Nothobranchius furzeri: one gene and its partner. The main gene of each other region encodes a partner of the protein of the gene in region 2 in a complex. Links are inferred from orthologs where the notes say so. Each region holds a gene or a part of one and is shown on either strand. Other genes may lie near its edges.

Evidence for each region.
Region 1: kat2a (region 2) and dr1 share a complex: the UniProt entries of both Homo sapiens proteins name them as parts of the ADA2A-containing complex. The link is inferred for Nothobranchius furzeri from reciprocal best matches to the Homo sapiens genes KAT2A and DR1.

Annotation. Positions count from the first base shown.
Region 1 is NC_091756.1:58,159,845-58,166,954, forward strand, and holds the end of dr1 (protein Dr1), read right to left. Parts: 5' UTR 6,571-7,110; coding exon 6,351-6,570; intron 6,250-6,350; coding exon 6,086-6,249; intron 3,431-6,085; coding exon 3,284-3,430; 3' UTR 2,359-3,283; downstream 1-2,358. UniProt on the Homo sapiens protein: The association of the DR1/DRAP1 heterodimer with TBP results in a functional repression of both activated and basal transcription of class II genes.
Region 2 is NC_091745.1:16,604,380-16,612,220, forward strand, and holds part of kat2a (histone acetyltransferase KAT2A), read right to left. Parts: coding exon 7,809-7,841; intron 7,642-7,808; coding exon 7,537-7,641; intron 7,141-7,536; coding exon 7,004-7,140; intron 5,022-7,003; coding exon 4,813-5,021; intron 4,738-4,812; coding exon 4,611-4,737; intron 3,806-4,610; coding exon 3,695-3,805; intron 3,617-3,694; coding exon 3,473-3,616; intron 2,152-3,472; coding exon 2,037-2,151; intron 1,958-2,036; coding exon 1,921-1,957; intron 646-1,920; coding exon 582-645; intron 1-581. UniProt on the Homo sapiens protein: Protein lysine acyltransferase that can act as a acetyltransferase, glutaryltransferase, succinyltransferase or malonyltransferase, depending on the context.

The sequences.
Region 1 (7,110 bases), on a different chromosome or scaffold from region 2:
GTAGCTTCAGATGAATAATTATGTGGTACAAGACATATATATATGACGTTGACTAGTGCGTGTCACGTGTGTGTGCGCACGCGCGTGTGTGTGTTAAAAGCCCCGGATCTTCTTCAGTCCTAAATCCGCCCCTGCTGACACCCTTTGATCTTCGGAAAGGTTCACACTGAGCATGTGACAGAGTCTGGAGACACGGTGGCAAACATTCTGCTGCCAGCAACATCCTGCAGCATGTCCAGTTTGAGAGTGGGTCAGTAGTGTGAGGTGACATTTCTTTGGAGGCTACACAGCCCTTCATGTGCTCGCCAGAGGTAGCCTGACTGCCATTTGGTATTGAGGTGAGATCCTCAGACCCCTCGTGAGACCATATGCTGGTGCGGTTGGCCCTGGGTTCCTCCTAATGCAAGACAAAAGCTGTGTTTCCATTACCAAAACTCAAGGGTAATTCCTGAGATGGGGAAACTGACCAGGCGATAGGATGTCCCAGTACACACAGCTGTTGTCTCCATTCAAATTCAGCCCTTTCAAAACTTTGCACAGACGTCAGCATATCACGACTGCTTTGGCAGTGAGCAATGTCGCCAAAAAGCGTCCGCAGTAACAATAACATTACAAGCCTTTATTCTATTGAAGTATATAAAAAATGCATCCACTCTGAGGATGAGAGCAGCTGTGTGACGTAAAATGTGGTGTTCAATGACCAGAAGAAGTGTCATATTTTACAGCGCTCTGTGAGACAACAAAGCCTCGTTGATTGCGGGGGGAATTCCACCATGTTTTATGGTGTCAGGAGTTAGATTTTAAGCACGATCGACGCTTATTTTCCTATGCTTCCATTCTGCTTCACCAGCAACTCTCCTAATTTTACCAGCCTGCTGATGTCATTTCCAACTGGGTTTCAACCAATCAGTATGAGGTAACCAGAGGTTTCGCTCAGCTGCTCCACCAGGCCGTTCGGAGTACTTACCCCTGATCAGTTACTCAGAAGGTTCCTGAAAACGGCCTGGTCAAGTGGAGACACGTGCATGTCAGGAGGTTCCTGTAAATCTACCCTGAAGTTCTGGTAATGGAAACCTAGTTGTTGATGCCATGGACTGGCCTGTCCATTACCCAGACCTGAATGCAACTGAGCGCATGTGGGACAGCACGTATGCCACGTTGCACCAGATTGTCCAGGATTTGGCGGATGTTTTAGTTCAGAACTAGGAGATCACTCAGGAGACCATCCACCACCTCAAGAGCATACCCAGGTGATGTAGGGAGGTCATACAGACGCATGGAGGCCAGACACACTACCAAGCCTCATTCTGACTGGTTTGAAGGACATTGGGTGACGGTAGATCAGGAGTTAAGTGCTCGCCCTGTAATTGGAAGGTTGCAGGATCGAGCCCCCTCAGTCTGTCACTGTTGTGTCCTTGGGCAAGACACTTAACCCCCCTTGCCTGCTGGTGGTGGTCAGAGGGACCGGTGGCGCCTGTGCTTGGCAGCCTCGCCTCAGTCAGTGTGCCCCAGGGCAGCTGTGGCTACATCGTAGGTAATCCCCACCTGCGTTTGAATGTGTGAATGACTGATTGTGTCGTAAAGCACCTAGGGGGGCTCCAGAATAGTGATGTGTCGGTCGCGAATGAACCGGCTCTTTGAAGTGAACGACGGGAGCCGGCTCGTCCCCTACCCCCTCGCCCCCTGCCTTGGTGAAAGCTACAGGCGATTGGTCAACATGTGGAACTGTGTGTCCAGACCGTCCACACACAGAGCAGTAGGGGCGGGGAAGAGGGAGGATCAGACTCAGACACACAGCAGAGCACATGCGGGTGGAGGTAGACGAGAGGGAATGAGGAGGAGGGAAAAGGCGAGCGAGAGAGAGGAGAGTGCGACGAAGACGGTGAGAAAATGAGCGCCAGCAGTCGGAAAGTGGAGATTTCTTAAAGTGTTCAGTTATTAAATCCATAGAAATTATAAACAATTGATATATTGCTTTTTTTACATTAGTAAATTATTTTACATATAGTTTAGCATTATTTTGGTTATAAATGTACTCTACGCAACAGAAAATCTGAGGAGCCACTTGGGAGCCGGCTCTTTTTGGTGAGCTGAGCCAAAAGAACCGGCTCTCTAAAAAGAGCTGGAATTCCCATCACTATTCTAGAAGGCACTATATCAAATACAGGGCATTTACATTATATCAAAGGTGGATTTGCCTGTAGTGTGTATCAACTTTACTTTTGAGTGTGACCTTCTTGGGTTGATAAATTTGATTTCCATTGATCATTTTTGTGTGATTGTGCTGTTAGCACATTCAGCTATGTAAACAATAAAGTATTTATTATGAGTATTTAAAGCAAACATGGAACACTGACCTATAAAAACACTTCTTTATTGCTTAAAGAATACAACTTTGTAGAATAACAAATGACTGTTTCACAACTTGTTTTTTTTTAACGCTGAGGGCTGACCAAAGTCACAATAAAGATATTTAGATACTGCTCCAGAGGAAAATGGAAATCATTTCAGCCTGAACACAAAAGCATCTCACAAGGTTCCTCACATCATTTACACTGATCTGGAGTCAGCAGTAAGTATCACGGTAGCACCTACACTTTTAAAAACAAAGTCTGAGCAGTAAGTCTGTCCTCCATCTTTGGTTCTATGAGATAAAAGTTTAATTTGCTCAACTTTGCAGCTAATTACCAATACTGTGGGCGGTTCTAAGGAAGAACAAAATGACAAATATCAGAACAAGCTAAAATAAAAAAAAAAGGTCTATTTATTTCTCTACATAACGAAACAAATTCAATATTCACAATGCCTCAAACAAATTCACTGTCTGAACAAAAATGCTAAGGGAGAAAACAAAATCTTTCCTGTAAAAGTGACCACCAATAATCAAATAAAGAGAAACGAGTTCATCTAAACCACCGACTGAGGACTGGGCGTCTGTGATGTACCTGAAGGAGCAGAGACTTGACGCTTGAGTCGCTGACGCGTCCCAGTATCTGCTCTCAGTGTGTTCACAACTACAAATCCAATCACAACAGAACATCAAAGAGCTCATTTCACATAAGTAACTTATATGGGGAACATAAGGTTAACACAAAACTCAGCCATTCAATCCAAATCGTTTCCAGGAACTAGGATCTGGATGGGGCCCATTCCTCTTTCACTGTTCTCTTCAAATGTGCTTATTTTCAGCGCTCAAAGACGTCTCCGCCAACGAGAACGCTGGAAGATACGTGTGCCAGCAGTGTCCCAGGACAAAGTCCGAACATGTACCCACATCCGGAGTTCACAGGTCATCCTCCTCATCTTCATCCTGAGAGGAACCAGCCTGCTGGGCTGCACTGGCAGATGCGGCCGCCATCTGTGCCTGCTGGGCAGCCTGCTGCACCTGCAACCACTCCTGCTGGGCGAGTTCTGCCTGTTGTTGCCGGGCCTGCAGCCACGCGGCCCACAGAACCAGAGAGAAGCAAGAAGAGCTTTTTATTTTTCCTGAGGACTGTGCATACGTAAAGCCATCAAAGAGATGTTTTACATGACATAACGATCAGTTAGAACATTTTATAACTAAAATGAAACCACATTTCAGTGTTTACTTTAAAGCAAAGCTTAGGTAAAGGTGTAAATTTGCAGAATGTTTAAGTTTAGTTACTGGTCAGATTTAGTAAAAATAAATGAATGAACAGCAGCAACAGAAACTCCATGTTCATTCATAAAGATTCATACAGAACATGGTGTGCTGATCGAGGGCCATTATGGGAGTGGAAACCTCTGATAGTCAAAAGTTAGTGTCAGCAACTTATTAAAATCCTTTGAGATAATATTAGGCGCAGTGAAACAGCAATATTGATCAATATCGTGCAGGCCTATATTTCAGCTTTTAGTTAGGATTTTTTTTTTCTTTATACAGAAAAACAAATCAGGAAAAGCAATAATTTTCCATCTATCCATCTATTTTCAGCCGCTTATCTGGATTCGGGTTGCGGGGGCAGCAGCCTAAGCAGAGAGGCCCAGACTTCCTTCTCCCCAGCTCCTCCAGGGGAATCCCAAGGCGTTCCCTGGCCAGCTGAGAGACATAGTCCCTCCAGCGTGCCCTGGGTCTTCCTCTGGGTCTCCTCCCAGTTGGATGTGCCTGGAAAACCTGACCAGGGAGGCAGCCAGGAGGCACCCTAACCAGATACCCGAACCAACTCAACTGCTTCTCTCAACGTGGATGAGCAGAGGATCTACGCCGAGCCCCTCCCGAATGACCGAGCTTCTCACCCTATCTCTAAGGGACAGTCCAGCCACTCTGCGGAGAAAACTCATTTTGGCTGCTTGTATTCGCGATCTCATTCTTTTGGTCACTAACCAAAGCTTGTGACCATAGGTGAGGGTAGGAACATAGATCAATTGGTAAACTGAGAGCTTTGCCTTCCAGCTCAGCTCTATCTTCACCACAACAGACTGGTATAGCGCCCGCATCACTGCGGATGCAGCACCAATCCACCAGTCGATCTCGCTCCATGTTTCCCTCACTCGTGAACAAGACCCCAAGATACTCAAACTCCTCCACTTGGGGCAGGACCTCATCCCTGACCTGGAGAAGGCAGTAGAGTTGTCAAAAAAATCAATACCCAGATATAAATCGATGCTAAAAGTGGTATCTAAATTAGATATTCCATCCCTGTGGTATCGATATTATGGACTATTATACACAGCCTTCTTCAAGTACACCGACACGCACGACAGCCAGATGCCGTAAAGCAGCCTCCGCCTCCCAGACAAACAGAAGAAGAAGACGCCGCATTGCTACATTGCAATTTCCCACGCGAGTTGTCTCCGATCCAAGTTTTGTCTGCCAAAAAAAATAAACAAAAACAGCGAATTTGGGAGGCGCTTCACAGCCCAACTTAATTAGCATACCAAGTCCGACAAGTAGTTGTATATTCACGCTTATGTGCTTAAAGGAAACTCCCGTTTATTGCAACCCGGACTTAATTTCTAGCATGCAGTACGTTTGTTTACTCATGCTGACAACTTTGGTGCTACTTGGATTCCCCGGGGTATTTACCGTAGATCCATCGGCGAATCGCCGTCAGTGTATATCCGTATAACGGGTGCGGACGGGCACCCATGGTGCAGCCTCGAAATAAGACATTATCTGCACCAAAACATCTCAATGTCGAAAGGTTTTGTTAGGAATCATTAACGTGATTCCCCTGTTCGTTTGGAGCGGGTCTGGGATTTCTAGGCGTAAACAGACTAGCCGCGGCTAATCTAACCGGCGCTTTTAATGACGTCACTGCCGTGCGCTGGTCTGTTTTTATTAAGATTACCGGTAGATGTACCTTTGTCCTACTGAGGAGAAATTAGTTTTCTCCCTTTATTGACCAACAGAGTTGTTCAAAAGTACAGAACAAAACATATGGCATTACATCTTATGACAAAAATGCACCTTAAACAGAGTTTAAGCAGCAAAACATCACTCTGCAAATAGTGTATATATAGTGGGACAATTCATGATTTAAAGTGTTAACTTTCACCAGTTTTTGTATGCACGTTTAAAAAAATGCTGATACTTGAAAGGTTTAAGCACTTTACACACTTAATTCTTAACATTTAACTTTTGCAATATAAATTGAGGAATGTTATTTTTTGAATAAACTTGTTCAATAAATTGGTGTTTTTAAATAGTATCGAAATCGAGTACCGAGTTTTTTCCCAGTATCGAATCGAGTTTGAAATTTTAGTATCGTGACAACCCTAGAAGGCAGCACAATGACTTTTAATCTTTAAAAAGGCTAAACGTGAATAACATCAGCAATGAACTAAATCATCTGCTTCACTCTAATAATAACAGTATTTTTGTAACTTTGCACTTTGTTGTTCATTTGCGATGTTCACCAGGACGTTTCTTAAATGTTACGATGTGTTATTAATAAAAATGAATATAACTTTGTTGTTTTGTTTATTCTCAGCTATACAGATAAGTTTAAAGTACTAAATAAACACTCAGAGCTCATCCCAGGCCAACGATTACTGATTGGCAAAAGGGAAAACAAGAATGCTCATTCAAAAAGCACAAGCTTCACGCATGAGGACGTTTCACCTTTGCAAACAGTTCCTGTTGTTGTCTGAGGAGCTCCTCTTCCGGGATACCCAAATTCTCCAGTCGAGAACTGGCCTTCCTCCTCTTCAGAGCTACAGTTTTACACTCCTGCAGGACGTCTTTGACCTCCGTGATGTAAGACGCGAAACCGAGGCTCTCGAGGGCTGCGGTGCGAAAACAGGAGGTGAAAGTGCAATCAGTTAGTTTCAGCGGTTAGAACCAGGGAGGATGATACTCTTCCTGGTCTGGGTCGGGACTGACTCACCGTTGATGACATGCTCAGGAGATATGGTCTTTTTGTCGGATTTGTTGCATATTTCGTTGGCTTCCGAGGAAATGAGGTGGATGAACTCCGTGCAACAGTTAACGACGAGCTCCCTGGCGTCGTTGGCCACTCGAACGTTAGGGAGAGTTTCCTTAATCATTTTGTTGATGGCTGCTCTGGGGATGGTGAGGTCGTCGTCGTTCCCAGATGAGGAAGCCATCGTGGCACAAAAATAACTTCCAACTAGTATTAAAATAAAAATAAAAAAACGGAGCTCCGCTTCTTTAGTGTGTGGAAGTTACCAGAATTAACAAATGTCTATCTTCTTGAGTCTTCGGAGTACAAATAATAAAATGATCGGGTTGAGCAGACGTCAACACAAAGTTAATGTCATGAAGAGATGAGACGCTTCCTCAAAAGTTAGCCGGTTGGCTAACGGCTACTTGTGTGTTATAGCAAACAATGAGCCGCCTGACGATGTGACTTTTAAGGAATTAGAAATGAAAGCAAGTGTCACGGATATCTTCCACACACGCTGAACAAAAACACTTCACAAAACCCTAGTATATTAATAAGATGTATGTCTAATTAGCAACCAGGCTAGTAAAGCGGCTGCTGTTTTCTAGCCCCGCAGAACAGAAGTGAAAGCTGAGGCTACAATTAGGCTAACAATAAAGAGCTCTCTGATGTATGTACCGCTGCTCACACAAAGACTAGCTTTATGAAGTGCTTTAACACCACCGATTATTTTTATCTTACA
Region 2 (7,841 bases):
AGTATTATTGTGATTTTATAAAAGTTTTAAATGTGCTACGTTATTGAACTCATCATAGAGTTCCAATGTTCCTTGAATGCACCACAAGTGGTGCGAGAAGCCATGTGTGAGTGCGACGCTGCCTGCCAGTGCCAGCCGAGCTCAGCTGCTGAAATGCGGCAGGATGGCGGAAGGAGCAGTCGCCTTTTATGTAGCTCCGGTGGCTATCTCAAATAATGGACTTGTGAAAACCCACAAAAGGTTTGATTGGTCAGTGGGGGTAGCATGATCATGCTGCACGCACATGCACAGATCATTTTCTTTCTGATCCTCTGGAAGGAAGGATGGTCCTGTCGCTTCAGATGCATCTCTAATCGGTGGGTAAAGTCGGCTACAAAGTTGTAGTCAAAGTAGCTGAGGGGGGTCAGAAATGCCGCCAGATTTGTTGCTAGGCGCTTTTTTGAAAAAAAGTTGTTAAGGGGGTCTGAAAAGTCGTTAGAAATGGCAACAAAGTTGCTAAGTTGGCAACACTGGTCTTCAGCAGTCTCAGAGCTCGTTATTCATGTGGTCTAGATATGGCCAGCTCTGCAGGTGAGGCTTACCTTTATCTGGGCCAGAAGGTTCTTCAGCATGTTGTAAAGCACATCTGGGTCTTTCACCTCCTTCCTACAAAACACACCCATGTTTTAGCAGAAACTCAATTCAGTCAATCAGCCAATATTGACATTCATTAAAATTTCAACCTTAATGTTCTAAATGGTGGAAACAGATTTAAAATCTGACACTAATTATAAAGAGTGACTAGAAAACATTTACTTCTGGTTACTCAGTCTCCTTGTGTGCATCAGATTTATCCCGTCCTTCCATTATAATGCATTCATTACGTACATTAGGGATGTTAATTGGTGAATTATGGCGATACGATACGTACCACCATACAGGAGAGATACAATATATCACAATATTTGCGATACATTCATACGCCATATACATATTTTCTTACATTCCTAATAAACATTCTTATATTATTTAAACAAAAGTTACAAAAGGTGTACCCTCACTGTGCCCCGGGTAATAAACCCAATCCTGGACAAGCGTCACAGGAAATGAGGGAGTCAAACGGCAAGAAGGCCAAAACACATGAAGCCAATGTGATGCACGTTACTACAGTCAATCAATAACGGTGCTTCTGTTGCACAAACATTTTGAACTGATATGCTAAAAATAGCATCACCAATAAATCTGTGGTAACACCATAGTGGTAAACAGCCGTGTTATTGTATAACTAAAGCCACGCTGCATTTTTCACCTGTCACACTGCTTCACGTTGCACTGTGAGGACTCTAGAGGTGGTACACTGTACGGTCCAAGATTTCAGTGAGCACAACATCTCGCTCTGGCAGCATGCTAACAACACAACCACACTCACCAAAAAGCGTACATCACTAAATGCCGACAGATGCCCATGACAACAACAATTAAATGAGAAAAAAAGCATGAGCGTTAACACTTCTTTGTTAAACTCTAACAAACTCCAAAGGAGTGGTCCGCATGCTCCTGAGGGTAGCCTCCACTGTCGCTAATGTTGCTAATGCGACTCTGGCACTGTACGCTCGTCACCAGCTTTTACATGTCACTCCCTGGGTGTATTTTCGTTGGTCGACTGCAGACTGGAGTCACATAGATTTTATGACACTTCTTGAAGACTGTTGGAGGCTGAATTTGGTCGTGGGGGTGCTCAATAAGCTGCGCCGGTCACACGGAATACCAAAGACCTACAGATCACACTCACCCTTTTTTTTGTCAAAACTACGTTCAGAACAACAATGGATTTGTCAACAATGGTGGAAAAACACGGTGTGGCCCAGGTGTAAGACACTGGGGCAATAAGTCAGTCTGGATCCACAGAAACTAAAATCCAAATGTTTTAGATGCGTTTACCCCTTGTCCTTGTTGCTGGGTTTCCAGCCCGTCTCTCCTAGAAGAAACATAAACATTGTTAGTAATGAGAAGATTTTTATTTAAATCACACAAGTCAGAGCATGTCGTCCACTCACTTATTCCCGGGATGCTCTCCATTGGGATCTGCCGAACTCCCTCTTTGAAGCAGGTCAGACCTGGATAAACCTTCCTGATCTGACTCTGTTTTCTCTCAATCAGCTTCTTAATTATCTATAATGTCAGAAATGTTTCAATTTAAAAATACTCGTCGATAAAGCACATAGTTATCTTTTTCCGGCTCTTTGAGAGTACAGACGCTTTTTTCCTCCTCTCCTCCCTACCTTATCCCAAGGCTCTTTGTCTGTCTTTGGGTGTACGGCGCTTCTGCATTTTTACTGGAAACTATTAAAAATGGACCTGGTCAGCTGGTCTCTGAACGCGATTGACAAAATTTTTTCAACGATGACAACGGGAGAAGGGGCTCCCGGGTGCCCCTATGGGACAGATCCAGTTGGGTATATCATGGACTCCTGGAAACAGTGGAACCTGATCTGCCTCTCCCAACTGTCTTTAGAGGATTCTGAAGATGTGTGGATATTCGTGGTGTTGGTGTCGGGTTTCCTGCTTTTTGGCCTGGGAGGTTACCTGGCTTACCGGAAAATTAACGAGCTGTCGAGGAATATTGGCTCAATCCCGGAGCTCAGAGATGGATTACACCGCTCTGTGAATGCTCAGACTCATATAATTGTCGAGATGAGTCGTAAGCTTGGGACTTTGGCTGAGATTCAGACTCTGGCACAGAAGGTGGATTCCATCAAGGAGAAAGTTGATGGGTCAGTGTGGATTGGGATAGTTTTAATTACGCCATTATTGGATTTTGAGAGGTTGAGGACCAACGAAACTTTAAGACAGAGAGGAAATTATCTGTGTCTGGCCCCAAAACAAGTTCTTATCTGAATCTGGTACCCTTGAGCCTGTGAGGCTGAAGTGATTACCCCCCTCAGAAGAAATGTGGAATGCTGCCGTCACCATGGTAACTCTGTCTCCCTATCCCAGCCTGGGTGGGACTGTGACCGGTGAAGGCTGTTGAATCGTTCCAGGAGTCACTGTGCCCTCTAAACCCATCAACCTCCCTCCCGTCCAGACGGAGGTGACGAGCGCTGCTCATCGCGGCTGCATGCACTGACATGTGGAGAGTCCCAACCCACCACCCCACTTAGTGGACACTTATGTTGTGTGTTGTCTGAAGTCTGTTGCATATCTGTCTGAGGTGTTTTTTTTTGCAGAGCAAAGCTGCCCTCCCTGTGGAGGGTAACTCTGAAGTGTCTTCTTTTCCTCCACCTGACCCAATCCTCATATAAATCCTCTGATCTCTATTAAGGTAGCACAACTCGGGTTGCGATTGACCACAGTCACCAATTCTTGTCATGTGTCTTTGCCAATGTATGTCTGATCTCAGAATTGTGTGTACTGAAACTCTTAATTTCCCTCTGGGATTAATAAAGTATCTTTGAACTGAATTGAATTTGAGTTAGAAGGACTCCTTACGCACCTCCTTCTGTCTCTTAATGATGTGTGAAAGTTCCGTGTAGGGAATTCTAGGATTTAGTTCACACTCCATCAAGGTGGCTCCTTCGTAGTCTTTGATGTATCCCAGGTATCGACTCTTGGCCACTTTAATGTCTTTGGAAAAGCCCTGCAACAGATAAAAGAAAACAATTATGAGATATGCACGCAAGAGTGGAGTGAGACAGGTGAGGTGCGTCTGCTGTACCTGCTTCTTGAAGTATCCGATGGCGTACTCGTCAGCGTAAGTGAGGAAGTAAAGGATGTTGTGTTTAATGTGGTACTCCTTCAGGTGGTTCATCAGGTGAGTTCCATAACCCTTAGAGTCACACACACAACAGATTTGTGTCAATAAGAGATGTAAAAACAAAAGATATTAAATAAATGCACAATAACAAGTAGGGATGTGGATCTTAGAGCAACTCTTGATTTGATTCGATTCCGATTCTTGGGGTGCCGATTCGATTCAGAATCGTTTCTCGATTCTCAATTTAAATCGATTCACATTCCGTATCAACAAAGAGTGTCAGCTCCAGGATGAACTACTTTGTTGTACAAGTTAGTTAAAGCTATGGGACATTTTTATTAGACTTCAAACTGGTCGTGCTCCAAAATGCTAATTTACAATGAAAAATAAAGTGATTCTAAAACTGTAAACAGAAACAATCTTATGACAAAAAGGCAACATTTATTTTTGCTTACCTTGTAAAATATAACAAATCTGTAGTTACCTAACAGTAGCTTTAAAAGTAATACGGTCAAATACTTTTCAAGTATGTGTGGAAACAAGTTACATGAGTAATCCTGAGTACTCATTTATCAACTTAGAAAATAAATATGAGAATATCTCAAATTTCTGAGTATGGAAAAAATGACATTCAAGCACCCTCTTATCAGCAGATTCAAACAATTTATGGGAGCACAAAAGTAATCGGAGTACTGACTCTCCTAACAAAGATCAAAAAAGTGCATCTCAAACCTGTAACATGCCAAATATTTGAGTTCTTGGAATCGATACTGAATCTTTATAAATAAGAATCCCGATTCAGACTTGAATGGATTTTTTTCAGCACCTCTAATAACAATCAGCAGGGATCGGTGTGTTCTAATTAAATCCTCACTACCTTGACTTGTTCGTTGGATGTGACGGCACAGAAGACGATCTCTGTGAAGCCCTGGGTTGGAAACATCCTAAAACAGATGCCTCCAATAACACGGCCATCTTTAATGAGAGCCAAGGTTTTGTGCTTCCTGTCGGAACAAAAGTGTCAGCAAAGGCAGCTGCTTTTACACGATGACACACCTGGTGAAAGACTGTCCACTTACGGGTCAAACACCAGCCGAGTGATGTACTCTTTGGGCATACGAGGTAACTGATGGGAGAAGACGTTCTGAAGGCCGACCAGCCACATCAGGATCTTCTTGTTGGACTTCTGGGAAAGAGAGTTTCCGATGACGTGGAACTCTATGATGCCCCGCCTCTCCTCCAGCCTGGCTGTCTCGTCCCGGGCAGCGTTAGGCGTCAGCAAGTTTGTCTTCAAACATAAACAAACTGTTAGAGATACCTTATTACACCTAAGTCTTAGAAACCCATAGCAACTAGTTTTATTAAGGCTGCAAACACACCACACTGAGTCTCTTCCTCCTATGAATTTTCAACTTTTAATTGTGTAAAATGTTAAAATCTTTTCATAGAAACCGACCTTCCTCCCACAACCAATTCACCACATATGCAAATTATACATCACATTAGAGGTTGACCGACACTCATTTCTCTATTGCCAAAACCGGCGCCAATATGTAGGAAACATGGTCAGCTGATGGCCGATATATATTGCAGAACCAGACATTTTCCACCTTATTTTCATGCTAAATTGTCACTTATAACATCAGTAGATGCACAAAATTCCTAGAGCTGAATCAGTGTTTAAACTCTGCACAGCTCAGTGTTAAAGTCAGACACCTAAATAGTTAATGTAGAGCGCTTATTACGTCGGGTTTCCACAGGAGCCGTCAGCAGCATGTTACTGCAGCAGCACGTCTTGCTCGCGTAAACTGCTGCTTGGCCCTTCCCACGAGACGCGAAGCAGCAGGGGAGCAGCCGTCACCGACAGAGCACGAAGTCACACGAGTGACTTCGTCAGTAAACACAACAACAAGCAGGAGAAAACTACAATATGGCTCCAAAATGTTTGTGTTTTATGTTCTGTTCGTTTTATAATCGCCAATACGGACCTGAAAAACAAAGGAGACCGCTAGCTAGGTGATAACTTCTCACGGGGCCTCACAGTTAGTAACTTTTTTTTTAAAGTAAAGCAACCGGAAGGCAGTACGTTCTTTATTCTGAAAATCTCTGGAGCTTCTCTCCATTTCCGCGTCCGATTTCCTGTCTTTCCTTCCCCAAAAATGTTGAACCTGACCCGTTTCAGAGGCGTCGCGCGTAGAAAATAGAACTGGCGCGTAAAGGCCGCGACATGCTGCTCCTGAGACGCGGCCGACTCACGCTGCTGACGGCTCCAGTGGAAAAGGTTCTGTTGACCACAGCGGTTCCTATCAGCAGCTATGACGTGCTGCTGCAGTAACGTGCTGCTGACGGCTCCGGTGGAAAGCCGGGGTTACGCAGATGGTAATGAACGTAAAACTACATTTAAATTAAATTCAGCACCAGGCTGCCCCAGGATGTGCCTGACTTTAAATCGGCTTCACTAACAACAAGTATCGGCCAATGCCAATGTATAAAAACTAGGGCTGTGACTCGTTTAAAAATTTTAATCTAATTAATTAGAGGCTTTGTAATTAATTAATCTAAATTAATCACATTTTTAGAGCGTTTCTGTTTTAACTTAAACTTCTGTTTTCAACTTTAAGACACGTTGTGATTGTTTACAGAGTAGTGAGAACACGGAGCGTTCTCCCAGCGGCAGCCAGGTGCCTCTCGTTTGTCTGACTACTTTTATAAACTACTGTTAGGGCAAAGAATTATTCTATCGATCTCTGAAAAATGTCCGCGACACGGACTCCGTTGTTGTCCGGAAGTTTGTTTTTTTTTCAGTTAAGAAAAGAGGCGGACGGGTTTCCTAAATCCTGCATCAGTCCAAGCAAGGCAACTTCTTTCTGTTTTTATTCCGTTTTAGTAGCCATTAGCACTGTGCATTGTTGTGTGCATCAGTGATATTCGGTCTACGAGAAAATCGTGCAATAACAAAGGTTCCGCCTTTCTCGAAATGCAAGCTGCGATTAAAAGCGTTAATTTTTTTAATGCGTCATTTTTTTCTAATTAATTAATCATAATTAACACATTAAAGTCCCGGCCCTAATAACAACTGTAAATATATGCAAACATATCGATATAGCCGATATATCAAAATGCTGATTTTGTCCTGTCCCCCCACTGTGTCTCTCTCTGCTGCAGGACTGACGGTGTGCCATCAGACTGCAGAGAGACAACATCCGAACTTCCAGGCTTCAGTTGCAGCTCAAAACATCATTGCCCTCCTGACTGGCGGTGAAGGCTGACCTCTGGTCCGAGCATAGCAGCAGGATCTGTGATTGTCATCATGACTTCATTAACCAGCTCCATGGGAATGTCTCCCATCACACGGATCCGCTTGGCATCTTCTAGAGTCAACGCCTCTGGAAGTTTGCGCTTTTCCCCTGGAGAGAGGGAAATAATTCTCTCATCAAAATAATAGGATCAATCCAGCAGAAGTTCCATATTTACATGAAAAGAGTGACTTTATAACACTCAGTTTCACACTGCATCAGTTCTGCAGAAAGGTTTTGACCCATGGATGCAACAGGAGTTCTCCATTTTGCAGCTCCTAGTGACACTCATGATTGTAAAAAGTGTGTAATTCGAAAGTGAGGGAGGCTAATTACAGCAAGTTTAACGTTTAAGCAGAAACATTTACCAAAATGGCCCTTTGAGGTTCTCCATGTAATTAGGTCAGACTGGATGTATGTGATACACAATCCTCTGAACTGACACCTGAGTGACTGAGACACCCGAAGGTCGAGTGTGATTCAGAGTGAAGATGTTGGCGAGCTGACCTATGATGGACTCGACGCCTCCTGTGTCCACGCTGCCTAGAGACGAGCTGCTGCTCAGACATTTGGACAAAGCAGCAGACCCAGAGACCGACGCTGGACTCATCACTGCAATCACAAACATCATCAATTGCAGGCCACTTGTAACCACGACAACAGCAGTGATGGCATCTTTTGTGAGGCATTTCAAGGCCAGACAGACCTGATGCTAAAGTACCAGTTCTCAACAAACACCAAACTCCATGTCTCCACCAGCCGCTGCACACCTGCCTCACCTGTCTGAGGTCCCATCTGAGAGCCGTCCGAAG